4 linked regions of the Notamacropus eugenii genome follow. The protein of the gene in region 1 interacts with the protein of each later gene in a pairwise test. Links are inferred from orthologs where the notes say so. Each region holds a gene or a part of one and is shown on either strand. Other genes may lie near its edges.

Region 1 (7,355 bases):
TGAAGCACAGATTTTCTCTGCCACACTCCGAATAAATGGGACATCCAATCTTTGAAGACATGACAGGACATACTAACTCTCAAAGCAGCTTGTACTACATTTGGACAATATACCATTAGAAAGTTCTTAACTTAAATCAGAATCTGGTAAATGTCATCTGTTGGTTTAATTCTATTGCCTGGGACCAAGAACAAAAAAGAATCCCTCCAGCTAATGACTGTCCAAATGTGTAAAGACAAGCTGTTATTCATCTATACACACACCAGCTTCCCAATGGCCTTCCTAAACTATGGTTCTTAGATCTGAAGATGATGTCTTCTAAATGTGCCCTGGTCAGGGCAAAAGGACATGAGGACTAATAATGCAACTTTGGATCACTGGCTTTTTTTTTTCTGATTTGTCACACTTTTGACTTACATTGAGCTTGCTAAAATACCCAAGTCCTTTTCACGTAAACTACTATTTTATGTCAGAGGCCTATTCATTGAATGGGTGTATCTCACTCAGAGTGAGAATGTGATAAGACCTTGGCTTAAAAAGGTCAAGGTCTCACACTGCATTCTGAGCCATCTCCAGTCATCCTGATGAATATCTGGTCACTGGACCCAGATGACTCAGGAGAAGAAAGTGAGGCTGGTGACCTTGCCCAGCCCTCCCTCACTCAAATCAAAGTCAAGTGCAAGTCATGTCATCATCTTGATGTCATGGTCCTCTTTGAGAACGAAGGACAAACAACTATTTTATATATCTCCCATCCTAAATTCACGAGGTTGATTTCTTTGAGCCCAAGTGTAAGACTACATTTATTTCTATTAAATTTCATCATCTTAAACTAGGCCTGCTGAAACTATTTAGGTTATTGATCTAAAGACTAGCCCCCTGCTAATAATATTAGCTATCCCTCCATCACTGAAAATTTTGTCAAGAGGTCATCTGTGCCTTCACGATATTGAACAAAAAGGCCAAGGAGACAGCATCCGAGCACTCCACTGGAGTTTTCCCTCCAAGCTGAGTTCATTCCAAATTTACCTATCTGTACTATTGTATCTGGTTCTATCTCCCCACCTTATCTAAAAGGCTATCAAATGCCATGCTGAAATCTAGATATCGTGTCCAAATCATTATTCTGATCTACCCATCAAAGGAAATGAGTCTAGTCTGGTCATCATATTCTTAATAAACCCATAATGACTCAGCCTAACCATGGGATTTTTCCATCTGACTAGCAGCTGAAAGCTTCCGTATGTGTTGTCTCCTCTATTCAAAAGGTGAATTTCTCGAAAGCAGGGGCCATCTTCCATTTGTACCTCCAGCACTTATTTAATCATTCTTTCATTCATACGTACTGATCATCACTTTTAGATTCAGTTTAACAGCAAATGCTATAGCCACCCTATTCATCAACAAGCATTTATAAAGTGTTCACTATGCTCCAGGCGCTGTGCTTCCTTTTGGAGGATACTATACTTTTATTAATGCTTCCCAGAATGTCTTAGTTTTTTTTTTAGAAACCACTTCACCGTGCTGTTTCATATTGAAGCAATCAGCTAAAATCATCAAGTCTTTTTCACAGCAATTGTTAAGAAACATCTCCCCCTTTCCTATATTTGTGCAATTGTCCTCTTGAACTTACTTGGAGTTGCCATTTCTAAGTTTAATCATATTAGCTTGGGCACGTTGTTTCTGTTGAGGTATTTTGAAATGTGATTCGGACATCTGGAACATTAGCTATCCCAGGTTTGTTGCCCATAAATTTGAAAAGCAGACCTTTTATGGCCATCCTCAAATGGTACCAGGCATGATACCCGTGACCATGAAGGAGTCTCACCTTAGTAAGGGGGAGAGTCTCAGGAAGGGTCAACCCTTCTTTCTGTAGCAGCCTCTTCTCTTCATCTGTCAGTATCAACTGAGGAAACTCGTGCTGGAGAAAACAGGAAAATGACATGTGACAGGGAGGGACCAAGGAGTAAATAAAGTGGGAAGAAGACATCTGGAGCTTGAGGAGAGAGAAGTGTGGGGTTGATCAAAGCATCCTGATATTATCAGAGGTGATCATCTCCCCCTTACTATTAATGTTTGCCCCTCCTCCAGATACCTGCAGTGTCATTTCTTCCATCTGCAAGGAGACCCTTGATTCTTGAGCCACATCTCTGAGACCATCATCATCTGCAGGAGGAAAATAATTAGAACCAAGAGCCCTGGGCTCCTAGTTTCATCCCCCTTTCCATGTCCCTCCCTCAGAATCCTCTTTCTGCCTTCCCAGTCACTACCTACCCGCATACATGATTCCCCTTTCCCAGCTTACCCAGGTCAATGTAGACATCATCTTGGGAGGAACCTTGTACATTCCAGCTCAGAGAGTAAGTGTGATCAGTGTGAATGAAGCTGTAGCTAGGAGGACTTGGGAGGGATGGTGAGGTGGGGGGTCCCAGCAGAGACATCAGGAATTCTTCTGCTTCCCACTCATTCAGCACCTATACAGCCACTTAGTTCAGAAGCAGGCCTTGCTCCTCTCCTCCCAGCTTCCTGTCCCAACTCTCCTTGGAATCTCTCCTCTTCATTTATAGCACCACCATTACCCCAACCAAGGCTAAGCCTGGCCCAGCCCCTACTCACCTCAGGAGGCAGCATCCCATCATCCTGCTGGTCCTCTTCCCTCTCCCCAAGGATTTCCCATAGATCTCCCCCTTCCTCCTTCAGGAAATCCAGCAGGTCGTTGTCACCTGGGTCCAGGACAGGCTCCATGGTGGACATCTAGAAGAAGGAGAAGGAATCACCATCCGCATCCTGATCCTCTTTTCCCCTCCAAAGGGTAGAAGGTGAAAGGCGGTCAGTCAACATTCATATTAAGCCCTTACAATATGCCGAGCACAGAGAATACAAAGAAAAGCAAAAGCCGTCCCTGCCATGGAGGAGCTCTGTCTGTTCTCTCCGGCCCCCCATCATAGAGCCCCAGAGGGGGGACGTTGGAAGCAGAGGGCCAGGGTCGGCCCGGCCCTGCCCCGGCCCCAGCCCCCCCCCCCCACACACACACACCCCGCCCCCCAAAGCAGAGAGCACCGGCACGCCCTCCCACCTACCCTGGAGGGCTGGAATGGCCACTTCTCCGCCTCCTCGGCCAGGTTTCCAACCCCACCCCTCGTCTGCTCCCTTCCACCTCTACGCGAACTGGCCAAATTTGGGGTTCTACTTCCCCTCGGGCCGTCTCTCCCCAGCCCGGACAGCCTCTCCCAAACCCGACCCAGCTCCAGCCTTCCAACACCACAAAAATGACGTCAGCCAGAAGGCCGCGGCATGCTGGGAGATGTAGTTCCCCCACGCCCGCCCGGATGTAGCCCGCACTCCGACTGCTGTCATGTATCCCCGAGCCTCGTACCCCTCGCCAGGCTTTCCGTTCCTGAGGTCGATCGGTCCCGCTCTGTGCACACGCAATGAGTTTTCTTTGTTCGTTTAGGTTTTATTGATGCCTTTCGTTTCCTGACAGCCACCAGCCCCCTCCATTGAACACAGGCGGGGAGCAAACACCACGTTCCGCACCCGTGGCCCCTCACCTCTGCACCAACAGAAAGTGCGGTCGCGACGTGAATCGGCGGTCAGGTACTTTCGAGGTGGTTTACAAAGGTGTGAGTGACGACGTGTTCGCTGTCCCCGTGACCACCCACGCACGCCCTTCGCAGACCGCTGAGAGCGCCCCTCCCTGCCTCTGTCACACACACACAGGGGCTTCCCGCTGGCCTCCCTGTCCGCGCGTGTCCCCAACTTTCCCGAGCCCACGCGAAGGGCGTGAGCGACCCCCACGAGCATCAGAGGGCAGGCGGGGCCCTTCCCTGGGGCGGAGGGCGGAAGGGGGAGCTCCCGGGTCTGCTGGGGAGACTCACACATGACACATGCCCTGCAGACGGAGGGGCTCGGTCAGGCCGGGAAGTCTCGGGGAAACAGGTGGGTCCGCTTTCGTCCGCCGGGCTCTCCGCGGGTCTGGGGCTGAGGAGGGGGCGAGAGGCGGGCTTCCCGCGGGGCGCGCCTCCCGGGCCCCGCCCCCCCGCCAGGGAGGCCCCGCCCCCCCGCCAGAGCAGCCCGCAGCACAGCGAGACGGGGCGGAGTGCGCCTCGGGTCCGCTAGGCTGCGCGCGGTAACGGAGCCGCGGCCCGCGCCGCGCATGCGCCGCCCTCGCTGCAGGGGAAGTTGCCCGGGTCTCCGGGCCGGCTCCCAGGCATAGAGAGCGGGGGCCAGAGCAGCTTCCTGCAGCAGCCAGGGCCGTAGAGGGGCGGGCCCAGGGCGCCGCCCACGGGTGGGGGGGACGCGCTCCGGGGACGGAAGTGGCGGAGAGTTCGTCAGTCGGCGGGAGGGCGAGGCCGGACCCCGGACCCGGGAACCTGGAGAGCGAACGAGTGAGTGACCTGGAGGGCGGGCCAACGAGCGAGAGGTCCCCGCACGGCCCAGGTAGGGCCGAGGCGGTGCCGAGCGCGGGGCGGGACCAGGAAGGACGGGACGGCGGCGGGAAGGGGCAGGGCCGGGCGGGGGGAGGGGACTGGATCCGGGGGAGGGGGCCCGGCCGCGGCGGAGGGTGGGGGGGGGGAGGGGGAGGGGGGAAGGCAGGGGTCGAGCGGAGGCCGCAGCCTCGGTCCGCAGCCAGGGCGGTCAGGGTGGGCGCCGCCGCCGGCTCCCTCCTTGGCCCGAGAGGTCAGGGTCCGGGTGTGTCCATCCTGCTTGTCCAGCTGCTTGGCGGGCGGAGTTGTGGTACCCGGGATGCTGGGGGGCGACAGTTATGGGGTAGCGGGGCGAGGCTGACGGGCCTGGGCTGTAAAGCTGGGGTTCGGGAATAGGGGGGAGCGGATCGTGGGGACGGGGGAGGTGAGGCGGGCCAGGACGGGGGACCCGGCTGGGCTTAGCGGGGTGGGGTGGGGCAGATCGGGAGGGCTCCAAGGCCGGGTGGGAGGGTGTTCGCTGGTCCGGGCTGCGGGGTCCGGAGCCGGGATGGCGTGCCTGGGTTTGGCGTTGGCCGGGTAGGTTCGGAGATGCAGGCTCAGGTGCGCCCCAGGTTTGGGGGAAGTTCGAGTTAAATGGGGTTGGAATTTGGAGCCGAGTATCCGATGGACGTTGGAGGTGTCCTGAGGATAACAGGAGAGATGTGCTGGCCCTTACTGGTTATTGAGATTGTGGGGCGACAAGTATGGAAGCGCTTCTTCTTGCCGGGTGCTGTGACAAGCCCTGGAGGCACAGAAAAAGGCGAAAACAGCGTCCCCGCCCGAAAGGAGCTCGAAGTATGATAGGGGAGACAGCGTGCAGACGTCTGTGTGCGGGCAAAATAGTGCGGAGTGATGGAGGATAATCTCAGAGCGAGGCATTGTGCAGTGAGAGGGCAAGCAGGTGGGATTTGAGCTGAGGCTTGAAGGAAATCAGGGCAACCTGGTTAAGATTTAGGCTCATGACAAATAGGCAAGCTCTACACTCAGGATTTTTGTTTTTTAGATCACTGTTAGAATACAGAGGGCAAGTTACGGCTAATATTAGGGATAGCATCAGGATTCACAGGTTTGGATAGTCAGGATTAGTTTGTGGGTCAGTGTTGGGGATTGTAGGATCATAGGTTTAGAATTGGAAAGGGTTAGTCAGGAATCAAATTAAAAGTCAGGGGTAGCACTTGAGTTTCGGGTCTGCATTACGGATGAATTTATCTTCCAAGAATCAAATTAGGCTTCAGGGATTAGGAATGGCATTGGTGTTTGTGGAGGGCGGTTAGCCAACCATGAGTCAACTAGCACTTGATAAGTGCTTGCTGTGTGCCAGACTTTGTGCAATGAAAAATACAAAGAAATGCAAAAAAGAAAATCTAGTTCCTGCCCTCAAGGAGCTTACATTCTGAGGAGGAAGCTTCATGAAATAAGTACCTAAAGAAGATATATAGAGTGAGTAGGAAGACCTCTGAGAGGGGAGATTACTAGCAGCTAGGGGAATCTGGAAAGGCCTACACCACAAAATGGAATTTGAGCTGAATTTTGAAGAAAATAGAGAAAACTTAAGAGTTGGAGGTAAGCAGATAGAGCATTCCAGGCTTGGGGAACAACCAGTGAAAAGGCAAGGAAACTGGAGAACAGCTAGGAGACCAGGCTAGCTGCGTGGTAGAGTTCACAGAGAAAAGACTGAAAAGGTAAAAACTCTAAATGCCAAATAGAGTTTAGATTTGATCAGGGATCCAAAAATTGGGATCATTGTTAGGATGAAAGGATGTGAGTAAGGGTTAAGGATAGACGTCAGTAGTCAGTGATTGGTTCAGGCATCATTGGTAGGCCATTGGGAATATCTACTAAATAATGATTTTCCACTTAGGGTCAGTGTTTGAAGTCGTTAATGTTAAGGAGATGAGAGTTAAAGGTCAGTGATTTTTTTCAGAGTCAGCATTAGGGTTCAGGAATTGGGTTGAATGTTTTGGTTAGTCATAGGTTAGCATTAGATTTAAATGGTTAGGAATCAGAAAGAGAGTTAGCTATTTGGACTAGGCTAGAAATAAGTCCAAAGGTTTAGGATTAAGGGTCAGGGTAAGAGTGAGTCAATGATCAGATCAGAATCAGTATTGAAGTTCAGGGATTAAATTCTGAACTCAGGCTTAGGATCATGGTCAGTTTGAAAGATCGTGGCCTACAGCAGTGCCTCAATCACGAATTGAGTTTAATTCCCCTAATTTAGACCATTTGTCCTCATTTCATTTGTAGTTATCAGAGCATCAAGATCCCCTTTGAGTGGGGAACTGTTGCTCCAGACTCTTACTTCTAGTTTCTGACTTAGTGTCCATGGTAACAGGGTTTCAGATTCTAGCAAAAGGCCATTCCATACCCAAAGTCAGTGGTTTCAGTGCTTCCCAAGTGGTGTGAGGGATAGAATGGGAAGTATTTGGTGGCACGGAAAGGGCAAGGACTCATTGCCTTCTTATTTGGAAAAGTATTACCAATTTGTCTGTGGGGTGGGGAGTAGGTTGGTCAGCCCTGAGGTAATAAAAAATGAGGTATGTTTGAGAATGGCTTTGTGCCCAGAAAGTTCAACCCCATTTTTCCCTCATTCCTTAGTCACTTAATTCCCATCCCCCTCCCTTGGGCCTGACTAGGCAAGAGGGTGGGAGATTATGACTTCCTGCTTTTCACATCCTCCTTGACCACCACCACTCCACCCCACCCCCATGTCTGTGTATCTATTTTTTTTGTTTATTTTTTTTTTAAGCAAAAATTCCCACCAACTTAACTTCCCCCTGGGTCCCTTACCATCTGCTGAGTCCCTCAATCCTGGATATGCTCTGAGCTCCCCTACTCTTTCAATTTGGCAATTCCCCAGTTATGAGCTTCTTCCAGTTCCCTGGTCGGCTC
Region 2 (7,732 bases), on another chromosome or scaffold:
AAGAACATAAGCCTTTTGTTTCACTTTTGTCTTTACATCTCTCATACATGACACAGTGCCATGCTGCTAGGCCATAGCACATAGTATTTAACCAATGCTTACTGATTGAATTGCCAAATTATTGATAACACAATAAAGCTCTTGGTCTCTGAGAAAGATTGCCTAGTTAGTGGCCTGGCATCCTGGGAATTTATCTAGCCTACCTTGATCCTCTAACCTGAGCAATAGGGCATGGACTTGACTTGACAGCTAGGGAGATTAACTTCAAGCAGATGGAGAGGTGAAGCGGCCAAGGGGATTCCTGACCTCACTGATTTGTTCCTTTCAGATCATTAAGCAGTGTTTCTCCTCTTTAGAACCTCAAGAGATTCTACTCCACCTGCTCCCCCACCCCCCATCTCTGGATGATGTATTATATAGTCTTGCCTCCTACAAGAAAATCTCTACTTACCAATTACTATTAAGGTTGGACCAACTAGAAAGGAGGGGAAGAAAAATCAAATTGGCATTCAACTCAAAGAGTTTATTTTAAAACAGGTTCTTTTGTCTTGATGAGAAATAACACAGGGGCCCTTTCCAGCACCTTGATTTTCAAATCTATTTCACCCCTCCATTCCTCCCTGCCCACAGCATTTGGCAGGGCAAGCACAACCCATGTGGCCAAAGAGATGACAATTCAGGGGCAAAAGGGAGACATATACACCCCCTGGGGGTGGGATTCAACAGTTCAGTCTGTCCCCAGGTCTAGGTCAGAGCTCAGGGGCACAGGGCTCCCCAGCAGGTGGTGGCACCCTCAACTCAGCATCATGCCTCACAACAGTGAAGAGTCCCACCACAGCAAGCAGGGCCATGACCATGACAGCTGAGCAGATGCTGAACATGTTCCGGGTACCTGTTTTTCGATCACTGTCATGGAGGACCAGGAGCCCTAAGCAGGCCAGCAGATGCAAGGGGACCCGGAACCAGTTAAGCACTCCTGCCTGTTCCATCTCAGGGATTACTTTTCTTCGTAGGAAGCTCATACTGGGAAAGTACAAACCACAGGCCAGCTCTATGAGCAGGAAGGCAACAAATGACTCCACTGGGCTCTCTTGGCCTGGACTGGTGGAGAAAGTCAACATGAAGAGGGAGAAGACAACAATGAGGACAGCAAGGGATAACAAGTGCATGGGTTGGAGGTGGTACCTCTTGGAGGTCGCTATTCGATATAAGGAAGAGCCTAGCAGGCTGGCTGACATAAAACTGGAGAAGACGATGCCTAGCGGTGCTCCATGAGGATCCAGGACGGGTGTCCAGAGGAAGATGAAGATGAACACAACACTTTCAAACAGGGCTTGAATGGTACCTAGCAGCAGCACCCGTCGGTCGGACAGGAGGCAGCGAAGACCCCCTCCACAGGTCTTCAAGAATGCTCGCTGTCGGTCATAGTTCTCGCCCCAGTTGCAGAGGGCCAAGATGCCAGCCAGAGCGAGGAGGGGAATGGCAGCGACAAAGGGAGCCACGGGTCCAAGACCTAGCCAGCTAGCCACAACCTCCGCTGCCACGCCAGCTGCTACAGCCAGTGCATGGTTCCAAAAAGCAGCCCGGGCAAAGGTGGCAGGGATCCACTCAGGAGGGAAATCATGCCGTGCAACATGTTCATGAATGTACCATGACTCAAAAGCTGAAAAGAGCAGGGCTGTGGACAGTCCACCTAAAGCCCGGCCCACAAGCAGTATGAAGTAGTCCTGGGAGAGCTTGGTCATGCAGCAAAGGGAGTAGGTGAGGGAGAAGAGGACACAAGACTTCTTTCTGCCCAGCCAGTCCACGAGGGAGGAGGCCACTAGGCCAAAGAGGACGGTGGAGGCCAAGCCGCAGACATAGAGGATGGCGATCTGGCCCTCCAAGAAGTGGTAATGTTGGTAGAGTTTATAGAGGTAAGGAGCTTGGAGCCAGTCCGCCGCCAGCGCCAGGAAATAGACCTGGTAGAAGTCTAGCTGGAATCGGAGGAAGGAAGGGTTGCAGCAAGCCCTGCCCGGGGCCTTGGCCCTGCATCCGGACAGCTCCAGCCCCAGGCAGGCGGCCAGCACTAGGGCCAGGGCGAGGTAGGCCGTCACCAGCATGGCGGGGCCCGGGCTGACCTGGGGAAGAGGGCGAAAGGTAAGGGCGGGCAGGGCGCAGCTCCATGCCCTCACCCGACGACGCTCCCCGCGGTCCCCCAGAGCCCCGGCCGGAGGGACCAGGCAGGCCGGTGTCCCGGGTCCAGGGACACTCGGGATCCCTGCTCGGGGCAGCCCAGCTTCCGCGGCTCCCCACGCTCAAACCCCATCCCCGGCTCTCCTCCTCCCGGGATCCCCGCCCTGTCCCCACGAGCCCCCCACGCGCGCGGCTCCCTAGCCCGGGCTCGCCCTTCGCCGCGTTCCCCTGGCCCTGTTCTGCTCTCTCCCCCGCTCTCACCTGCTGCCCCGGTCTGCGGGGACGCTCCCGGTCGCGTCCGGCTCCCGCCCGCCCCACTCCGGCTCCAGCTGAAGCCTCCGCCCCTCGCTTCGCTTCCGGGAGCCCGGCTGGCCTGAGGCCGCCGTGGGCCCCGCCATGACAGCCCCGTCACGTGACGAGGTCCCAGCTCAGGCGGGGGAGGGCGAGGGAGAAGAGAGGGGCGGGGCCTCCTCTCCTCTCCTCCTCCCCCTCCCTTCACCCTCCTCCTCCCTCCTCCCTCCTCCTTCCTTCCTGCCTTCGGCGCTCCTGGTCCCCACCCCTGGCACGCACCCGGACGCCTGGACTGGGAAGGCGAGGAGCGGCCCCGGCTCACCTCTGCGGGGCTGGGCAGCTCCCTCTGCTCCGCGCGGGCCCCGAGGCGGGGTGGCCGGAACGCTGCATCCTCCAGGCAGGGGACCTGGGTCCGAGAAAGCCCGGCCTTTGCCTCCTCCCCCTCCCCCTTCCCTCCCTTTCCCCCTTCTTTCTCCTCCTCCTCCTCCTTCCCCTTCTCCCACTTCCTTCTCCTACCCTTTCTGCTCCCCTCCTTCCTCTCTCTCCTTCCTCCTCCTTTTCCTCCTCTTCCTCCCACTTGCCCCTCCACCCTCTTCCAACTCTCCGCCCCCCCCCCCGCCTCCCGTAACCCTCTTGCTGATAACTTTTAAGGCGCTTTGCCTCCGCTCCCGAGACGGGGCTGCTGCGGGGCTTGGAGGCAGAAATGTACCCGTAGGGTCCTGGGCAAGTCCCTTCCTCGCTCTCAGCCTCGTGTCCGGCTCTGTAAAATGGGAGTAATAGGAGAGTGTGTGTGTGTGTGTGTGTGTGTGTGTGTGTGTGTGTGTGTGTGTGTGTGTGTGTGTGTGTGTGTGTGTGTGTGTGTGTGTGTGTGTGTGTAGGATTGTTGTTAGGATCATGTGCAGTAATAATACTGTCTCATATATGGCTAGCTTGCAAAGGCACCGTACAAACTTCCCCATCATCTAGTCCTCACCACCGGGGGGCGGGGGGGGGCGGGGTAGATTCAGCGGGCACCTGCGCTGGCTATCCAGCCCTGTCCAACAGCTAGCCTTTATACTGTGCTTTAAGGTTTGCAAGGCACTTTGCACATTTCATCTTTACCGCAAGCCTTAGTGTCTGCAGCTGGATTTGAACACGGGTCCTCCTCACTCCAGCCATTCTCTCTACTCTCACACCTAGCTTTGGCTAGTCTGGCTTTAGGGTGAAGGATGGCACTTCCACTATGTTGGCCTCAGTTTCCTTGTGTGTAAAAGGAGGGCTTTGGCTTAGATGAGCTTTGAAAATCATGATACTGCACAGCTGCTTTTGACCAGGCTGGGCCTACCTTCGAATTTCTGGAAGCTGTTTCTATAAGTCTTGGTGCTTCGTGGAGCTGGGACGTGGAAGATCAGCTAATAAGACCTTTGCCTGATTTTGCACATGAAGAAATTAAAGTCCAGTTGAAAGAACATTGAATTTGGAGTCTGAGGACTTGAGTTCAAATCTCATTTCACCCTATCTGTGTGATCTTAGGCAAGTCACTTAAATTTCCTAGGCTTCTGTTTATTTCTTTCTAAGATGATGGAATTGGACTAGATTGTCTCTAAGACTATGATTATGTATTGTATTATTTTCTGTATTTCTGCTTCCCCTTCCCACCCCCTCTACCCATTATAATATAAAATAATATATAACCTTATGATTCTAAGTGAGTTACCCAAGATTATCTTGGAATTTGAATTGAGGGAAGCCAACTAAATCCACATGCCCACCCCCACCCCCTCCCTCATATGTACTACAACATTCTACCACAGCTGGAGAATGCAGGAATGGGCCAGGTAGTTAAGATGCTTGTCGAAAGGGACTCATCTAACATCCTACTATAATCTAGTCATGTGCGATTCCTTTTGAACAGACCTCCATTTAGGGCTGAGGCTGCAGATGGAGAGGCTGGTGGTAGAGGGCAAGTGTGGAAAAAACACTAGCCTTGGAATCAAGACACATCCTCCTTAGCATGACTATGGGTAAGTCACATAATCAATCTGAGCCTCAGTTTTTTCATCTGTAAAATAGGAACAATATTGTAATACCTTCTATGCCAACTGAAATAATGCCTTAAAACCCTTTGCAAACCTTAAAAATGTTATCTTAAATGTCTATTATAAGTTTTCTCTACTATAACAGTAAAAACAAGAATTTCAATCCAAACTTCTTCATCTGTAGCATCTTACTGGTCCTTTCATCATCTGAGAGATAGGAAGTGATCATTCTCCTTATTTTTCAGCTGGAACAACAGGCCCAGACGAATGCAGTGATGTCCCCAAGGTCACCCTACCTGAATGTTCTGCCACTTAGCTTTGCATTACCTCCCCATGACTGAATGAGATTTTTCTTCCTTTTGAGCTTTTCTCTTGTACATAATGGGATCATGCTACATAGAAATATAAGGAGAAGTACAACATGGTCTATGACTCTTCCTCCAAAGAAGGGGAATGTTTTATTCCTTATTTTGAATAGTGTAAAATTCAAATCACCTGTTAAATGGGGGAAAATACATAGGTAAAATTACCTGTGTAATAATTATCTAAGCTGCTAGGTGGTACAATGGGTAGAGCACTGGGCCTGGAATCAGGAAGACCTGAGTTCAAATTTAACCTCAGACCCTTATTAGCTGTGTGACCCTGGGCAAGTCACTTAATCCTCTTTGCCTCAGTTTCCTCACCTGTAAAATGAGCTGAAGAAGGAAATGACAAACCATTCCAGTATCTTTGCCAAAAAATCCCCAAATGGGGTTCGGTCAGACACGACTGAACAATAACAAATTATCATCTGTATTTATTTTTATTATTGGCCCATTCTGAACAAAACCATTCCTTGGGATTTTGCTGGCTCTTAAGAGCTTTGACTAAACCATACTTGGGAAGAAACCCCAGGGTTTTACAAATTAACCAGTCTAACCAAAAGGATTTGGAGGGGATAAAGGCTGAGAGCCCCACACCTCCAAATTCCCCTCACCAGGACCTCTTTGTTATGTATCTGAGGCAGGGTGTCCTGGCTCCTCAGTTTGGGGAGGAATTCTGGGAACTGTTTTGACAATTCTTCTTCCCTTTCCTTAGTGGGGAAATGGAAATCTTCAAATGGAATATTTCAGGAATGAGCATGGCACAAATAGAGGAGACGTTCGGGTCCTGGCAGAACAGGAAACACTTATGTTGTCCAAGTGAGATGCAGGACCCAAGGAGAAAGAAAAAAGGGTAAAGACAGGCAGAAGAGAGAGATAAGAGAGAAAAAGATGGAGGGGATGATAGAGATAAAAAAAAAGACAAAGGCAGAAGGGAAAATAAAAAGAGTAATGGAAAAAACCAAAACTGACCCGAAAAATGGGTGGAGGGGTGGGAGGGGGTAGCAGAAATACAAAGGCAAGTTTCAGAAGAAAGCAAAAATGGAGGTGAAGATAGGGACAGTGAAATAAAGAGGGGAAAGACAGAGGAGATGGGTGATTAAGATGGTGGAAAGGGGAAAACCAAAATATAGAAACAGGAGAGGAAATTGAGACAGAAGAAACAGAGTAGAGTTTAGCCTGACACAGGGAGAGAGGCAGAGAGATGGAAAAGGATAAAATGTCCCGGAGTCAGCATGAGAGGCAGAAAGACAGAGGGAAGATATACTGAGGGAAGGACTGTGAGACAGGTGAAAAGTCACAGTGCCAAGGACTTGGGGGGAGACAAATACACAATGGCCCGGAGACAAATACACAATGGCCCAGAGACAGTTTGGAAGAGAAACGTAGAGTGAGGAAAGAAGACTCTTGCCTTCTGCCCCTCAGAAGTATTAGACCATTAGATCTGAACTCTAACGTCTTTATGGGATGCTGTTTGCCTTCCCCTAGGGCCAAAGGTAGGTTAGAAAGAGAGTGACTGGAAGCAAGTGTATTTGGGAAAAACAAAGTGGAAAGAAGTGTTGGAAAGAACCACGTGATGTTCTCCTCTCCCGGATTTCCACTCCCCACTTAGACCAGATGGGCAAGAACATCACTTATGAGATTACCTGGAGTGGGAGGGAGGGGAGTAAGGGATTGAGGTCATGGGACTAGGGAGATACCTAAATACAGAAACATCTACGAAGAGAGACAGTCAGAAAGACATAAAGATAGTGGTAGGCAGAGAGAGAACATCACACAAAGGTGAGCCTTAGGAAGGGAGAGAGATCTGAGGGAAGGGGGTTAAAAATCACAACTTAAGTCTCTTTTTCCAATCCCAGGAGATGGGCCAGTCTGGACAACAGAGCACCAGGGTTCTAGTCCCTTGAGGGCTCTCAGGGATTTTGGTCGGAGTGAGTGGTGTGAAGTATAAACAAAATATCCTCCAACTCTCTCAAATGAATAAAGTTTCTCTTACCTGTATAGAAGTCTCTTGTTCCAGTGAGAGATACTAAGAAGATTCTCACCCCAAGACTAGTACAGCTGAGAAAGTTCATTAACCTAGGGGGGAAAAATGTTTTTGGCCCCTAGAAGTTGCAGATGATGAAGTTCTCATGACGATGAGAATGGTCCTTGGGCTACCAAGTAGTTCCCAGTTGGCCCAATGGAACAGCCAAGCCTCTCTGTCCCTCCAGGTGGGAGTGGCTGCCTAGACCACCCCAGGTTGAGGGGATTCCAGGAAGGGAGACTTAGAGAGGGAGAGGCAGCAATAGCAGTGGGAAGAATTTTGGGAGGAGGACAAACTCCACAAAGGAACAAAAGCCAACCTAAGCCATTGAACAACAACCCCCAGAGAGCTGGAGACCCTTGCAACAACAGCTGCAGCAGCTGGCAGGGGGGCTGGGACCCTGAGCATAACAGCTGTAGTTGTTGCCATAGCAACAACGGGAGCAAGGACGGGTTCCCTGGCCCCTAAAGGAGGGACAGGTGGGGCCAGGGGTGGGATGGGAACAGGTAGAGGGGTGGCTAGGGCAGGGAGGATGGGGACAGGCAGGGCAAAGACTGCAGAAATCAGGGCATGTGCAGGGTGAACAAGCAGGGCAGGGGGTGTGAGAGCAGGCTAAGGGTGGATAGGCACAGGATGGGCAGGGGAGATAGGGGCAGGCAGGACAAAGGCAGGCAGAAGGACAGGAAGGGCAGACAAAGAAAGGGTAGGGAGAACAAGGGCAGGCAGGAGGAGGACAGAAGGGGCAGGGACAGGAAGAAGGGGGACAGTGAGCAGAAGAATTGGGGGACTGTCTGGGGAGAGCCTTCTTGCCCTGAGGCCCCAAGCGCAAGCCCAGAGAGAAGTCCATCCAGCAGCAGAAG
Region 3 (7,819 bases), on another chromosome or scaffold:
AAGAGAGTCGTGAATGGATGGCAATCTGTACTTTTGGAGAGAGTTTCCACATCAAGAATACAGACCCATTAAAATACTGTAGAACAAGGCAGACCAAGTCAGGCTTATTAGCTAAGGGACAGAGTACAGATTTTTCCCAAGATGCAGCTAATTCAAGTCATTAACCAGCCTTCCTGTCAAAAGCCGTGCTATATTTATTCTCCCTTTTGTGATTTCGCTCATCATGTTCTCTCCTCTTTCCCCCCTCCCACCTGGCAATGTCCTTTGCAGTCGTTTATCCAGTTCCTACTGAACCCTCAAAGGGCCTGGTGCAGGGCATGAAATGTTGGACTTGGAGTCAGGAAGACCTGAGTTCAAATCCAATTTCAGATACTTACTAGCTGTGTGACCCTGGGCAAGTAACTTCACCCCTGTTTACCTTGGTTTCCTCATCTGTAAAATGGGGATGATAGTAGGACCTACCTACCTGCCTTCCTGTTCTGAGGATAAAATATTTATGAAGCATTTTGTGAACCTTAAAATAGTCCACAAATGCTACTATTATTATTATTTTGTTACTGTTAACAATAATAATTCTTCCATGAAACCTTTTCCTGACTACTTTAAAAGCACATTGAAAGGGAAGTCAGGAAACCTCACCCAGTAACTGTTCGGATCTTTGAAAAGTCATTTCTTTCTCCCTTCTGGGCTTGATTTTCTGTACATCAAGTTAGGAGACTGGCCTAGATTCAACAATTCAAAAGACATTTATCAGACCCAAACTACGTATAAGACAGCATGGCACAGTGGACTCCCTACCATGTACTCCTCTATCCTAGCGGCACTGGCCTCTTCTCTGTGCTATGAAAAAGACACTCCATCTCTTGGCTCCAGGCATTTTCACTGGCTGTCCCCCATTCCTGGAATGTTCTCCCTCCCCATTTCCACCTAGTGAATTCCCTGGCTTCTTTTAAGTCTCCACTAAAATCCAGTCATCTACAGAAACCCTTTCCCAACTCCTCTTAATTCTAGTGCCTTCTCTCTGTTCATTATTTCCTATTTATCTTATACGGGCAGCTAGATGGGGCAGTGGATAGAGCACTAGGCTTGGAATCAGGAAGGTTTATGTTCATGAGTTCAAATTCAGCCTCATATATTTACAAACTCTGTGACCCTGGGCAAGTCACTCAACTCTTAATCTCAGTTCCTCAGCTATAAAATGAGTAGGAGAAGGAAATGGTAAACCATTCCAGCATCTCTGCCAAAAAAATCCCAAATGGAGTCACACAGAATTGGACGTGTTATCTCGTATATAGTTGGTTTGTAAATTTTAGCTTGTTTTTTCTCCCATCAGATTGTTGGCTCCTTGAGGGCAGGGACTCTCTTTTGTCTTTTTTTTCTATCCCTAGTGCTTAGCCACAGTGTCTAGCACATAGGAGGAGATTAATAAATGTTGACTTATTGCCTCTGGCACATTCTAGCTATGAGACCATGGGTACTATTTAACCATACCCAACAACTCTTGAAGACAAGTCAAGAGAGGAGTTTTTGATCTGCATTTGAGGAGGAATTTCTATACCTGGGAGTTCCCTACATTTATGAAATTACAAATTTGACCCTCTCCCCAAATGTGCAAAGCACTGTTGGGGATTCAAAGATGAAAAACAACAGTTCAAATCCTCAAGGAGCTTATTATTCAATAGTTGGGGATAAGACATGTATGCAGACAAGCAATAAATATAGTGAGAGTAGGATCAGGTCAGAGTCAAAATCCAGACCAAAGTGTGGACACTTGAGGGAGGATCATAGGACCCAGATCTATAGTTGGAAAGCACCTTAGTCCAACCTCTAAGTAGGCTGGAGGAGATAGGCCAAGATAGGTTAAGTGCCTCCACCAGACAGAAAGGAGAGAGGTCAGGATTTGAATTCAGTGCCTGAGACTCCTTTTCTACCCCAATACATTGCCTCTACACTACGTTTAGATCCAGCATGCTATGAATCTATATTCCAACAGTGCAAGATCTCTTTTTGTCTAATCCTTAGCATGCAAGCCCATACCACACAATTTTCTATTCATTTATAAACTGTATGGTGTTATTAATTTTATTGTTTTTCTCACATAACCTTTTTTTTTTTTAACAAAACATTCACAAAATCCTTAAAGGCAGGAAGTGTTTTATTCTTTACTTACCTGCCTTTGAGGTATTCTGGTGGGGTAACTATAGTGACAGACCTAGAAGTCAGGAAACCTTAGGTTCAAGTCAGGACTCAGACACATAAACTGTGTGACAGTGGACAAATCACTTAAGTTTTCAGTGCTCCCCGATTACTGTCTAAGTCTAACATAAAGAGAAGTTGCCCAACTTTATTTCTACATCAGAGCACAAATGTTCCCTACAGTGACTGAATTTGGTCAGGAACAAAAAAAACAAACCCCTCTGCGAGATCAAAAACCAATTCTAGCCATATAATTGGTACTCTGTAAATATAAATTAATAAACTTTTTTTTTGTAGCAGATTTACCTTCCTAATTATACTCTTTCCAGGCAGATTTTAAAATTAATTTGTTTTTATGAAGAGAAGGAGAAAGATGGTCCAGAAAAGGTTTGCAATTGAGATTAAAAATATATAGCAGACAATCTAGAGTGGATAATTTGCATCTGGATAATTAAGGATTGACAACACATTTCACATGAAAATTTTAAAAATCTGGAATTTTGTGTCCTGATAAGCATTTATTCATAAGATAAACTCATTGAAAATACCTCAACTGGCAGAAATCATACCTTTGACATATTAGGACATATCAGCCCAGTTACATGCTTCTCTTCCAAACCTGCTGCTGCTGCTGGAGACTCTTGCTGAAGGCAGCCTGAGCCAAGGGAGAATGCGGTCTTCTGGGAATGACTTTGCTTTGGCAGATGCAAGTGCAGACTGCCCCACTCCCAGGGGTCCATTTAGTAATCAGTGACAATTGGGAGAGGAAGGTCTTTCTAAAACTGAACAGCTTCCTTAAACCAGAAAAAATGCTTTCCCTCCATACCTTCCTTGAAGACAGGGCAGCTTCAATGACTCAGGTCACTGCTGTCCCATTCCTATCTCAGAAGAATAACTTAAATGATTTAGTACTTTAGTGCTTATAAGACACTTTCTTCCCAACAGTCTTGTTAGGTCGGTCCTACAGATATTATTATCTCCATTTTTTATATACGAGGAAACTGATGCTTAAAATGTCACCATCACAAGTAGTTTGGAAATGTCAGAACCAAAATTCAAACCCGCATCTCCTAACTCTGGACTCACGGTTCTTTTTTTCTATATCACTACTGTCTCTCAGAAAAAACAAACAAAATGAAAAACAGCCCTCACCCCCAATAGATAGCCTGTTGTCCTTTGGAGCAGTCCCTCTACACAATGGAAATTTACGTCTTGTGGTAAACCCTAAAAAGAGTTGCTAAGAAAGAGAGAGAAAACATTTAGACCCTATTTTGATTCCTCCAAGATGTAGGCAATGGGGGAATGAGAGATCTAAGAAGGGTCTTGTCTTAATCATGCCTGCGAGAGTTTGAAATACCCAAGGCATCATGACCCTCTGTCGGAGACCCAGTGCCTCCACCTATGAAGTGGGAACCATATTTGGTTCTTGCTCCTCCTATTGTCAATATAATAAACTCCTTCAGAGTTGGATGAGATCATCTCTGAGAATCAAAAGGTGCTGGGTACATTGGAGGATTTCGAGAGACCTAGTTGGCTGCTGGGACAAGACTGTTTACCTTGGGAAAACCCCCTTACACAAGCCTCTGGTCCCCAGCCAGCACTTCCTCCTCCCTTCTCTGAACCTGGCTCTACGGTGAACCAATGTTCCCCTGCACTGCACTCCCCCTCCCCAAAACAAAAGATTTCCCTCCAGATTTGGTTCTGGTTTTTTATGTTGTCTCTCAAAGGGGCATTCTGCACCTGCCTGGACCCTCCTGGCCCCTTGATCAGACCCAGGCTCCGGAGAGGAGGAAAAGCTGGCAAGAAGAAACTGACAAGCAGGTTAGAGGATGGGAGGGGTGGAGGGTCTGATGAAGGGAGAAAATCCACACCAGGTGAGGAGAAGCAGGTGGTGCCCCATTCAGCCAGAACTGCCTGGAGGACTGAGGAGGAATGGGGGAGCGTTTAGATAGAGGCAGGAAGGGATCCCTGCCCCAGAATGAAGCCTATTTAAAATTTCTCTCATTCCATTCCCCAACGTTTCTGTCTAGCCCGTTTGCCTCTTCTTTACGCCTCTCCATCACTCTCCCTCTGGTTCTCTCCTTCTCTTTGTGTCTCTGACTCTTATATCCCCTTTAGGTTCGCGCACATACACATACATACATGCACACATATACAGGCATGCACACACACTTGCACACACACACGCCCCTTCCTCCCCCATTCCCTCCCCCCCACTGTCACTCTCGATCCCACGCCCCCCCGGACCCGGACTCAGAACTGCAGTCCCTCCTTCCCTCCCTTCCTCCCTGGGGAGCCCCCCTCATTCGTCCTGCTCCCCTCAGCCTTGGAGCGCCCACTCCGCTCCCCTCTTGGGGCTCACCCAGAAGAGCAGGTTGAAGGCTAGCAGCATGTACTTGATGCAGCGCAGGCCCCCGAGGACGCGCCCCATCCTGCGGCCCCGGCAGCAGCGGGATCCCGAGTCCCCAGGCCGGGCTCCGAGCTCCGAGCTCAGCTGGAGCCCCGCGGGGAGGGGGCGGGGCCACGGGGAGGGCGGGGCGCCGGGGAGGCGAGGGGTGGGGAAGGGGGCGCTGTGCTTGTAGAGGGAGGGAAAGGAGAGCTTGGACAGGGAACAGGAGAGGGGTTTGGAGAGAGAGGAGGGGGACAGGAGGGCGTAGGAGAGTGATGGAGAGAAGGAGGGGCGTGGATCCGGGGAGAGGAGAGCTCCGGGAAGGGTTTGGGGGCTAGAATTAGCGAGGGTTACGCTCCCTCCGTGTTTGTGGTGACAGACTAGATATTTCCATAACCCGCGCTCTATGTATGAAGTGCTTCCTTGGACACCCCATCAGTGATAAAGGGAGCTTTTGGCAAGAAAAAGCCTCCGAGGGGATCTTTTTGATCAAGAGCTGTTAGCCTCATTAATCTGTAGGAGAAATTGACTGCATCCGCAGGGCTTGACTATACCAGAGGAAGGTAGTTTCGGTTAGCAAAGGACAGTCAGTTCAAGCATTTATTAGGTATCTGCTCCAGGCCAGGTACGGGGGGGATTCGGTCAAAAATGAAAGCTCCTGCCTTCAAAGAACTTACATTCTTTTGGGAGTAAGTACCATGTACATACACAGCATACACAAAATAAAAGACCTGTGATTTCATTGGTATATGGCAATCCTAGGAGAAGAAATTTCGACTTCCAAGGCAAATCAGTCCTTTATCCGCAGCTTAGTCTTACAAAAAGTTAGGAAGAATAGTGAGAGGTTCGGATCCTTGCCCAGGGGTCAGAAAGTAAGTATTGTGTCAAAGGTGGGACTTGAACCATCAACAGGGCTTTGAGATCAAACTGGCTACATAAGACAGTCACATAAAGAAAGTATAATGTAGTTTTGGCAATGATGTCCCAGGAACTGGTGGGGATTGGGTAATGTGCTTGAGACTAGGGTTAAAAGGAAAAACCATCTCTGATTTCAGGGAACTTATATTCTACTGGGTGAATATATCTAAACGGATACATGCATACATATGTACATACATAAATACGTACATCATATAGAGCTCGAAGGTTTGCCAATCACTTTACAAATATGATCTCATTTTATCTTCACAACCACTGAGAGGTAGGTGTATTATTGTCCCCACTTTATAGATGAGGAAATCAAGGCAGAGGTGAAATTACTTTTCTGGGGTCATACAGCTAGAAAGTTTCTGAGGCTGGATTTGAGCTCATGCCTTCCTGACTGTAGTTCTACTACTTTTCCACTTCAACACCCAGTTGTCTCCTATCTGTGATAATTTGAGGAAGATGAGAGGGTACAGGAACAACGAAGGAGGATAGTGCAAGGTTTTCTGTAGGAGAGAGCATGAGCTGAGTCTTGAACGGAGCTAGAGATCCTGGAAGATGGAGGTGAGGAGGGAGTACATTTTAGGTACAGGAGACAATTTATGAAAAGTTGATATGGAGTACCTAGTTCAGGGAGCAGCCCTAGTCTTATTGCTCTAAAGAAACCTCTCTAAAGCAGGCAGGGAATGGCTCCAGGATGCCAAGACACTCAGTAGTTTCTGTGGGGCATAAAGTGCTGGGAGTTCACTTTTGCTTCCCCTCCTCCTCCAAGAAGAGTAAGACTCATGTCTCATCCCACAAAGAACAATTTCTCTAGGGAGAATGTACTGGGAGGAGCAGGATTCCCCCCCTCCCACCCATCCCCCCATTTTCCAAAGAAAAATCCTTACCTTAATAGGCATGAAGTCCAGAGACAGCAGGAAGACAGCTGCCAGGAGGATCCCAGCTGCGGTCACCACATTAGCTGAGCTTGCCAGCTAAGTTTGTAGAGTGGGAGGGCTGACACCAGGTCTGGACTCCTATTAAAAGTCTGCTAACGGGTGGTTTTGAAAAAAAAGAATTCAAATCATCAAGGGCCTTATAGAGATCTGAACAAAGAAGACTGAAGCTTCTGGGAAAGGGTATTCTGCTAACTAGTAGTGAGAAGACTAAACTCCAAAGGCCCTTAGACACCATCCAATCCACTCTCTTCATTTTTAAGATTAAAAAAGTGAGAATCAGAAAGGTTAAGTATTTTTTCCAAAGTCACACAAATAAGTAGATATGAATCAGGATCTGAACCCAGAGCAGGGGTGGGGAACTTTTGACCTCGGGGTACATGTAGTGACCCTCTAGGTTCTCAAGTGCAGCTCTTTGACCGAATCCTTTTGAAGGGCAGCATTTGAGGACCTAGAGGACCACATGTGGCTTCGAGGCTGAAGGTTGCCCACCCCGGACTAGATTCTCTGATTCCAATCCATCCACCAGTGTTTGCTGAATACCTGTGATGTCAAAAAGTGTGTTGATTACTGTGCAGAAAACCAGAGACAAGTAGAATCACAGAGTTGGAAAGGACCTCAGAGGAAATCTAATCCAAATAGTAACTGAAGAATTAATCCCTTCTGCAACACACAGGACAAGGTGGGAAGCCTTTATTGTCTAATGTTACTCTAATTCTTAGGAAATGTTTCCAGACACCAAGCTTAATTTCTATCCCTCAAAGGGGTTACAGAGTACACTATAGTGTATCATTTGTGGGTAGGGAGTAGGGGTGTGATGGTAGTAATACAGGACATAAAAACAGAAAAAACTATGTAACAATTCAAGGTAGTATCAAGTAGAATCATCAATCATCTCATACATTTCCTTACAGTTGCTTTTGCCCTGCCTCCCACCTAAGGCTAAGGCTTCCCCACCAGGACATGAGATGTCTTTTGGATTTCCATTGGAAAGGGGTGTGACTGGGAGGAAGAATATGCAGTAGAGCAGAGATGTCAAACATAGGTGGCCCCAAATATTAGCCGCAACACTCCGGAATGGGGCAAAACTAAATTAAAATGCAACTGGGAAATATTTAACAAGATAAAAAAACCATAATAACATTATATTCTAAAGCGAAGTCAATATGTGGCCTGCAGGGATCCACATAAACAGGTTAGTGGCCCCCATTCCCATTTGAATTTCACACCACTTTATTAGAATATCAGTTAAATAGGCAATTCCTAAGGAACTTTCTCTGGGAAGCCTAAATAAAATCATTTTTCTTAAAGTCATCAGTCTCTGAATCTTATGGAGTAAGAGTAATACGGATTTCTTTGTTATGAAATGTAT
Region 4 (7,194 bases), on another chromosome or scaffold:
TAGATATTGCTGTGGAATCATTGGTCCAACCAGAGGCTGTGTGGCCAAGTGGAGAGACCTGGACTTCCTAGCTGGGAGGTCATTTGGAGCCTCAGGGTTTCTACCAGGAAAATGGCCATAATCAGATCTGTGGAGAGCTTTACAAAAAGGCCAGGTCTCCTGAAGGGTCACGGACCTTGGTCAGCACCTTCACAGCTCCCCACTCCCTTGTCTCCTCTTTTCCAGGCCAAGCAAGCCCAGGTGCTTCGACTGAGGCCCCCATCCCGGGCACCCTCCTCTGGATGCTCTCTAACTCATCGACATTCCCCCAAACTGGTGAGGCCCAGAGCAGAACCCAGTGCCCCAAGAGGGCCTGAGCAGGGCTGCATTCCTGCCTTCCCCAGACACAGGCCGTTTGTTCTGGCCAGAGCAGGATAAAGCTCTGGGACAGGGGTGGAGGGGAGTCCCTGCAAGCGCTGACCTCTCTGCCTCCTTTACACAGTCAATCAACATTTATTAAGTGCCAGGCAGGGTATACAGAAAGAGACAAAAGACAGTGCCAGGCCTGAGGGAGCTCATGGGGACCAACAAGCCAACAGTCTCTACACAGCCAGCTCTTTGGGTGTGCACCCTATGCAGAGGGCGGCCCCATTACCTGAAGATGCTGCCCTTCCTGGCCTCCCAGCTTCCTCAATGTAAATGGATCCCTCTAATGGGCTCTCCCCCTGCCACAAGCTGAGTATTTCCAGAACAAGGTAAGGCCATGCTTGCAGGGTCTCAGAGCCTGGTGGGGAGAGGGTTAGGTGTGTCTAAGCAGGGCCAGAGGGAGTGGGGCCCAGGACTGCAAGGCCCAGGGAGAAGATTCCTCTGCCAGCTCTTTCCCTACTCCCCATGAACTGTCCATGTCTCCCCCATCCTCCAAAAAGCCCTCCTTCGGTCCTTTTGTCCCTGCCAGCCACCTGCCTATTCTCTGCTCTGTTTGGTGGCTAAAACCTCTGAAGTCAGCCCCACTCGCTGCCCTCCTTTTCTCTCTGCTTAGCTGTCTAAGCCCCGCTCCAGACCTCCTCATTCCTCCTAGAGGGATCATGAGCTCTCAGTGGCCTTTTCTCAGTCCCCTTCCTTCTTGACCTCTCTAGGAGCCTTGGATGCTAGTGATCACTCCCCTCCTCCCTCTCTTGTTCTCCTCCTGCCAGCCTGACCCTTCCTTCTCCTCTGTCTCCTTGGCTGGCTCTTCATCCAGGTCACGCCTCTCTCTGTTTCTTCACTTGGTGATCTCATCAGTGCTCATGGATTTAATTATCATCTCTGTGTTTGTTGTCCAGTCCTTTCTGACTCTTCGGGACCCCATTTGGAGTTTTCTGGGCAAAGATACTGGAGTGGTTTGCCATTTCCTTCTCCAGCTCATTGTACAAGTGAGGGAGGAAACAGGGTACCAGGGTCATAGAGCTAGTAAGTGTCTGAGGCTGAATTTGAACTCAAGACCTTCTGACTCCAAGTGCTCTGTGCACTATGGCGCCTCCTAGCTGCCAAAAGATCACGGATCACTTTGGAGAGAATAACTTCTGTGAAGTGCTGAGGTCAGAGGTCAGGTTTTAGACAAGAAGACAGCGAGACGAAAGGAAACCCCAAATGACTCCTCAATCTACTTCTCTTCCTGCATCTCCAGACTCACATCTCCAGCTTCCTTTCAGGCATCTTGGCTCAGATGCCCTGTAGATGCCCCACATGCCCCAAACGTCCCTGCTCCTGCCCTCCTGTCCTGGGATCCCCACATGCGAGCTATTGCCAGGATTCCCCTTCAGTGCACCCCCTCCTCTCCTCTGCCCCTACCCGGTCCTGGTGTAGACCCTCCTCCCTTCACATCCACTGCTGGAGGGGGGTCTGCCTGCCCCATAGCCCTCCCTCCAGCCCCTTCTCCATTCAGCCACCTTTGGTGGATTTTCCTAAAGCCCAGTTCTGACCGTGTTCCTCCTCTCCTCCATAAACTCCAGGGGCTTCCTGTTATCTTCAGGATCACATGGAAAATTCTTTCCTCATAAGCTCACTTCCCCCTTTGCAGTTTCCTGGCACCGCATGCTATGGGCATCACTATCGGACCAGAGACCCTGCCCTCAGGGTTCTTCCACAAACCAGAAGTGCCATCTGGGTTCCTGGCATTTTCTGTGGCTGGTTCCCATGCCCCGAATGCTCTCCCTCCTCACCTCTGGTGCCCTGCTTTCCTTCAGCTCCCAACTAAAATCCTCTTCTACAGGAAGCCTCCCTTCCCCATCTCTTCATTCCAGCACCTTTCCTCTGGGGATTCTCTCCCTCCATCCTCTTTGCAGCTGTGTGTTTCCTCCTCCTTTCAGAGTGTGAGCTCTGAAGTCTCTGAGGGCAGGGACTCTCTTTTGTGCACCCCAGCCCACAGTTTGGGCTAGCTAAATACTTATCTACTGACTGGCTGCCGTGCTCTGGGTCACACAGGCAACAGATGTCAACGGTGGAATGTGAAACCTGGACCTCTGACTCCTGAGCTGGGACCCTTTGGGTTGCAGACTTTGCTCTGTATCATAGGCATTAAAGATCCCTGTGTCCTCACACAGAACCACAGCTTTTCTCCCCAAGCTCTGATTCTCGTCCTCATCCTAACAGTGGTCTGGATGACCCGAACAGTCCAGCCAGGACCCAGGGATCCCTGTGCCTAACTAGAATTATGGCTGTGACAGTCTCTTGGGAAGGGAGAGGGAGGCTAAAGCCTCCTGCAGGAACAGTGCCTCAGTTTCTCCTGCTTCCCTGCTTGTCGATCCCATTCACAAAGGCGTACCTTTTCTGTGATCCTCAGGCTGGTCCTGGAGGGCGCTGGCTAAGTGCTCAGGCTGAAGAAGTTGGTCCCAGAGCCGGCTCTGCTCCATGCTTTTATAAGCTCTGTCAGATCCCCTCCTTCCCCTGGGTGCTCTAGCTCCCTCCTCTCAGATCTGTGTGTGCCCCAGAACAGGGCCTTTCTTCTGGCTCCCCCTTTCATTCTCACAGCTGTTTCCTGGAGGGAAAACAAAGGACTGCTCTGTGGACCGCTTGCTCTCCAGGGCTGCCAACACAAAGTCTTCCCATCTGGTGACAGGCCCTCCCATTTCATTCTCCCAATATGAGGCCTGGGGCTGGCTCCAAATCTCCGGACGGTGATGAAAGATGATTTCATTGTTTTTGGACACCTGGGATTTGTTTTCCACTTCTGCTGAATTCCTAAGAACAGCAATGAAACCCTCGTTGGATGAACAAAGAGCCGGCATCATGGGACGGTGACGAGGTGGTGTTGTATAGACATATGCGTGCTGTGTAGATATATCTTCAAGTCTACACAAGGGACTTCCCATGTGACCCTGGGAAAAGGCAAACCCCTTCCTCCCTCTCTCTCTCCCTCTCTCTCCCTCTCTCCCTCCTCTCTCTCTCTCTCCCTCCTCTCTCTCTCTCTCTCTCCCTCTCTCTCTCTCTCTCTCTCTTTCCATTTCTCTGTCTTTCTCCATGTAAATATACACAAATACTACCTATACATTAGCTGTTACCATCTTCATCGTCATTATCATCACCTGGTTTCAAGCCTTGGCTTTGACACCTGACTTGCTGACTTCCTTCCCTTCTCTGGGTCTCACTTTCTTTATCTGAAAACAGACACAGTAATCTTGGGGGTACTTCATCACTGTGACATCCTCCGGGTGAGGGGGATTGGTTGAAGGATCTGAGGAGGCTTGACCGGGCAGGAAAAGACCTGGGGACTTCACCTGGTGCCAGCAGGTACACAGTAGATGCTTCATAAATGGTTCTTGGTTGATCAACATGATGACAGCTGTTTCCCAGCATCTCGAGGGCAAACTGGCCAAAGATGAGTACACTCCCCTGCTGAGCCCCCTGGGGAGAGCCAGGCATGACTGGCCACACATCTGTGTCACCAGTTGTACTGACCAACTTAAGGCCTTTCCAGCAACTTCCTTATGAGCCATCCCTACCTGCTTTGGGTGCCCCTGCCAGTACAGTTCTGATTAATGGGTATGGTCAACTGATGAAGCTCCTTCTCAGAGTCCCCTTTTTCAATGCATCCTGTGTTCCCCTCCTTTCCTCCTCCTTGGGAGGACCCTTCTCAATTATTTTGTTTGTTTGTTTTTTGGGGTTTTTTAATATATAATCTATTTATTTTCAGTTCTTAACATTCACTTCCACAGGAATTTGAATTCAAAATTTTCTCCCCATCTCTCCTCACCCCCCCCCTTCCTCCAGTCTGTCCTCCCTTCTATTACCCACCCTTCTTCAATCCCCCTTCCCCTCTATCTTCCTGTAGGGCAAAATAGATTTCTATACTCCATTGCCTGTATAGCTTCATTTCCAGTTATATGCTAAAGCAAATTTTAACATTCATTCTTAAAGCCTTGAGTTCCATATTCTCTCCCTCCCTCCCCACCCACCCTTATTAAGAAAACAAGCAGTTCAATATAGGTCATACATGTGTAACAACGCAAAGCACTCCCGTAATAGTTAGGATGTGAAAGACTAGCCACATTTCCCTCTGTTCTGTCCTGGCCTCCATTCATTCCATTCTCTCCCTTGACCCGTCCTCCCACAATAGTGTTTGCTTCTGATTATCCCTTTTCCCAATTTGCTGTCCCTTCTATTATCTTCCCTCTTCTATCCCCTTCCTCCTTGCCTTCCTGCAGAGTATAATAGATTTCCATATCCAATTGAGTGTGTTATTCCTCCTTAAAGCAAATCCCCTGAGAATAAGGCTCAATTATTTCCTTTCATCTCCCCCCCTTCCCTCTTTTATGTGAGATGATTTGCTACATTCTACCTCTCCCTTCCTCTTACTCCTAGTACATTCCATTCAACAGTAAATTTTATTTTGTTTAGACATACTCCCTCAATTCAGCTCACCCTATGTCCTCTGTCTATATATACATATATATACATACACCCATGTACATATACATATCTACACATATATAATACACACACATACACATACACACAAACACACACATATATATACATATATGTGTATATATATACATATATATATGTATATATATATTCCCTCTAACTACCCTAACACTGAAAAAGGTCTCATGAGTTACAAATAGCATATTTCCATGTAGAAATGTAAACAGTTAGACTTTAAAGAGGTCCTTAAGGCTTCTCTTTCCTGTTTAACTTTTCATGTTTCTCTTGATTCTTGTATTTGAAAGTCAAATTTCCTATTCAGGTCTGGTGTTTTCAACAGGCAGGCTTGGAAGTCCTCTATTTCATTGAAATTCCATTTTTTCCCCTGAAGTATTATACTTAGTTTTGCTGGTAGGCTATTCTTGGTTTTAATCCTGTCTCCTTTGACCTCTGGAATATCATATCCAAGCCCTTTGATCCATTAGTGTAGAAGCTGCTAAATCCTGTGCTATCCTGATTTCCACAATATTTGAATTTCTAAAATACTTGAATTGTTTCTTTCTGGCTGCTTGTAATATTTTCTCCTAGACCTGGAAACCCTGGAATTTGGCCACAATGTTCCTAGGAGTTTTCCTTTGGGGATCTTGTTCAGAAGGTGATTGGTGAATTCTTTCTATTTCTATTTTATTCTCTGATTCTAGAAGATCAGGGCAGTTTTCCTTGATGACTTCTTAGAAGATGATGTCTAGGCTCTTTGTTTCAACATGGATTTCAGGTAGACCAATAATTTTAGATTATCTCTCCTGGATCTATTTTCCAGGTCAGCTGTTTTTCCAATGAGATATTTCATATTGTCTTCTATTTTTTCATTCTTTTGGTTTTGTTTTGTGATTTCTTGCTTTCTCATAAAGTCATTAGTCTCCATCTGTTCCATTCTAATTTTTAAAGAACTATTTTCTTCAGTGAGCTTTTGAACCTCCTTTTCCATTTGGCTAATTCTGCTTTTTAAAGCATTCTTCTCCTCATTGGCTTTTTGGACCTCTTTTGCCAGTTGGGTTAGTCTATTTTTTTAAATTTAATTTAATTATTATTATTTTTTAATGTTTTACAATCACTGCCATACAATTGAGATTTTATCCCCCCCACGCTTACCTCCCACTACCCCCCTCCCTCCCCATGACAGCATACAATTCTGTATAGGTTCTACATATACTTTCCTATTGAGTACATTTTCACTATAGTCATGCTATGTAGTCAAACTAAAATAAATGGAAGAAATCATATAACAAATCAAAACGTGATACACAAAAACACACACACACACAAACATGATCTGCTACATTCTGCAAATGACTGCCATATTTCTTTCTCTGAGTGTGGAAGGCATTTTGCCTTAGAAAACCACCACTGGGATTTTTTTTTAATAAGTTCTTGCGTTATTATGAAATTCCAAGTCTACCAGAACAAACTCTCGCACACTGTGGTTGCTGCTGTGCACAAAGTTCTCCTGGTTCTGCTCCTTTCACTCAGCATCAGATCATATAAGTCCTTCCAGGCCTCTCTGAAGTCTTCTTGTTCATCATTTCTTATGGCACAATAGAACTCCATTACATTCATATACCATAATTTATTCAGCCATCCCCCAACTGATGGGCATCCCCTTGACTTCCAGTTTTTGGTAACTACAAAGAGAGATGCTATAAATATTTTTGTACATGTGGGACCCTTTCCCATTTTTGTGATCTCTTGGGGATACAGTCCTAGAAGCGGTATTGCTGGGTCAAAGGGTGTGCACATTTTTGTAGCCCTCTGGGCATAGTTCCAAACTGCTCTCCAGAATGGTTGGATGAGCGGGTTAGTCTATTTTTAAAGGTGTCATTTTCTTCAGCATTTTTTTTTGGGGGGGGTCTCCTTTAGCAAGCTGTTGATTCATTTTTCCATGATTTCCTTGCTTTGCTCTCATTTCTCTTCCCAGTTTTTCCTCCACCTCTCCTACTTGATTTTCAGATTCCTTCTTGAGCTCTTCCATGGCCTGAGACCATTGCTTACTTTTTTGGAAGTTTTGGATGCAGAAGCCTTGACTTTGATGTCTTCCTCTGATGGCCTGCTTTGTTCTTTCTCATCCAAAAGGATGGAAGAAAATACCTTTTCACCAAGCAAGTAGCCTTCTATAGTCTTATTTTCCCTCCTTTTTTAGGCATTTTCCCAGTTAGTTACTTGACTTTTGAGTTCTTTGTCAAGTGGAAGGTATACTCTAGGGATCTGTAAGTTCTCAGTTCCTCCAAGGTGGCACAATCAGGGGAGAGGAGT

The links.
Region 2: the proteins of CREB3 (region 1) and MFSD5 interact in a two-hybrid assay, tested with the Homo sapiens proteins (2 studies listed by BioGRID and IntAct). The two-hybrid records come from large-scale screens. The link is inferred for Notamacropus eugenii from reciprocal best matches to the Homo sapiens genes CREB3 and SLC61A1.
Region 3: the proteins of CREB3 (region 1) and TSPAN2 interact in a two-hybrid assay, tested with the Homo sapiens proteins (2 studies listed by BioGRID and IntAct). The two-hybrid records come from large-scale screens. The link is inferred for Notamacropus eugenii from reciprocal best matches to the Homo sapiens genes CREB3 and TSPAN2.
Region 4: the proteins of CREB3 (region 1) and APOD interact in binary tests that used the Homo sapiens proteins (3 or more experiments, as listed by UniProt). The two-hybrid records come from large-scale screens. The link is inferred for Notamacropus eugenii from reciprocal best matches to the Homo sapiens genes CREB3 and APOD.

What each region holds. Positions count from the first base shown.
Region 1 is NC_092872.1:79,291,992-79,299,346, reverse strand, and holds the start of CREB3 (cyclic AMP-responsive element-binding protein 3), read right to left. Parts: upstream 3,020-7,355; 5' UTR 2,910-3,019; coding exon 2,859-2,909; intron 2,755-2,858; coding exon 2,617-2,754; intron 2,475-2,616; coding exon 2,306-2,474; intron 2,167-2,305; coding exon 2,096-2,166; intron 1,922-2,095; coding exon 1,829-1,921; intron 1-1,828. UniProt on the Homo sapiens protein: Endoplasmic reticulum (ER)-bound sequence-specific transcription factor that directly binds DNA and activates transcription. Plays a role in the unfolded protein response (UPR), promoting cell survival versus ER stress-induced apoptotic cell death.
Region 2 is NC_092874.1:226,174,993-226,182,724, reverse strand, and holds MFSD5 (molybdate-anion transporter), read right to left. Parts: upstream 2,886-7,732; 5' UTR 2,789-2,885; intron 2,620-2,788; exon of another isoform or gene 2,437-2,619; intron 2,121-2,436; 5' UTR 2,103-2,120; coding exon 750-2,102; 3' UTR 503-749; downstream 1-502. UniProt on the Homo sapiens protein: Mediates high-affinity intracellular uptake of the rare oligo-element molybdenum.
Region 3 is NC_092873.1:294,400,236-294,408,054, forward strand, and holds the start of TSPAN2 (tetraspanin-2), read right to left. Parts: upstream 3,006-7,819; 5' UTR 2,937-3,005; coding exon 2,766-2,936; intron 1-2,765. UniProt on the Homo sapiens protein: May play a role in signalling in oligodendrocytes in the early stages of their terminal differentiation into myelin-forming glia and may also function in stabilizing the mature sheath.
Region 4 is NC_092877.1:386,924,911-386,932,104, forward strand, and holds the start of APOD (apolipoprotein D), read right to left. Parts: upstream 3,012-7,194; 5' UTR 2,871-3,011; coding exon 2,783-2,870; intron 2,346-2,782; exon of another isoform or gene 2,181-2,345; intron 1-2,180. UniProt on the Homo sapiens protein: APOD occurs in the macromolecular complex with lecithin-cholesterol acyltransferase. It is probably involved in the transport and binding of bilin. Appears to be able to transport a variety of ligands in a number of different contexts.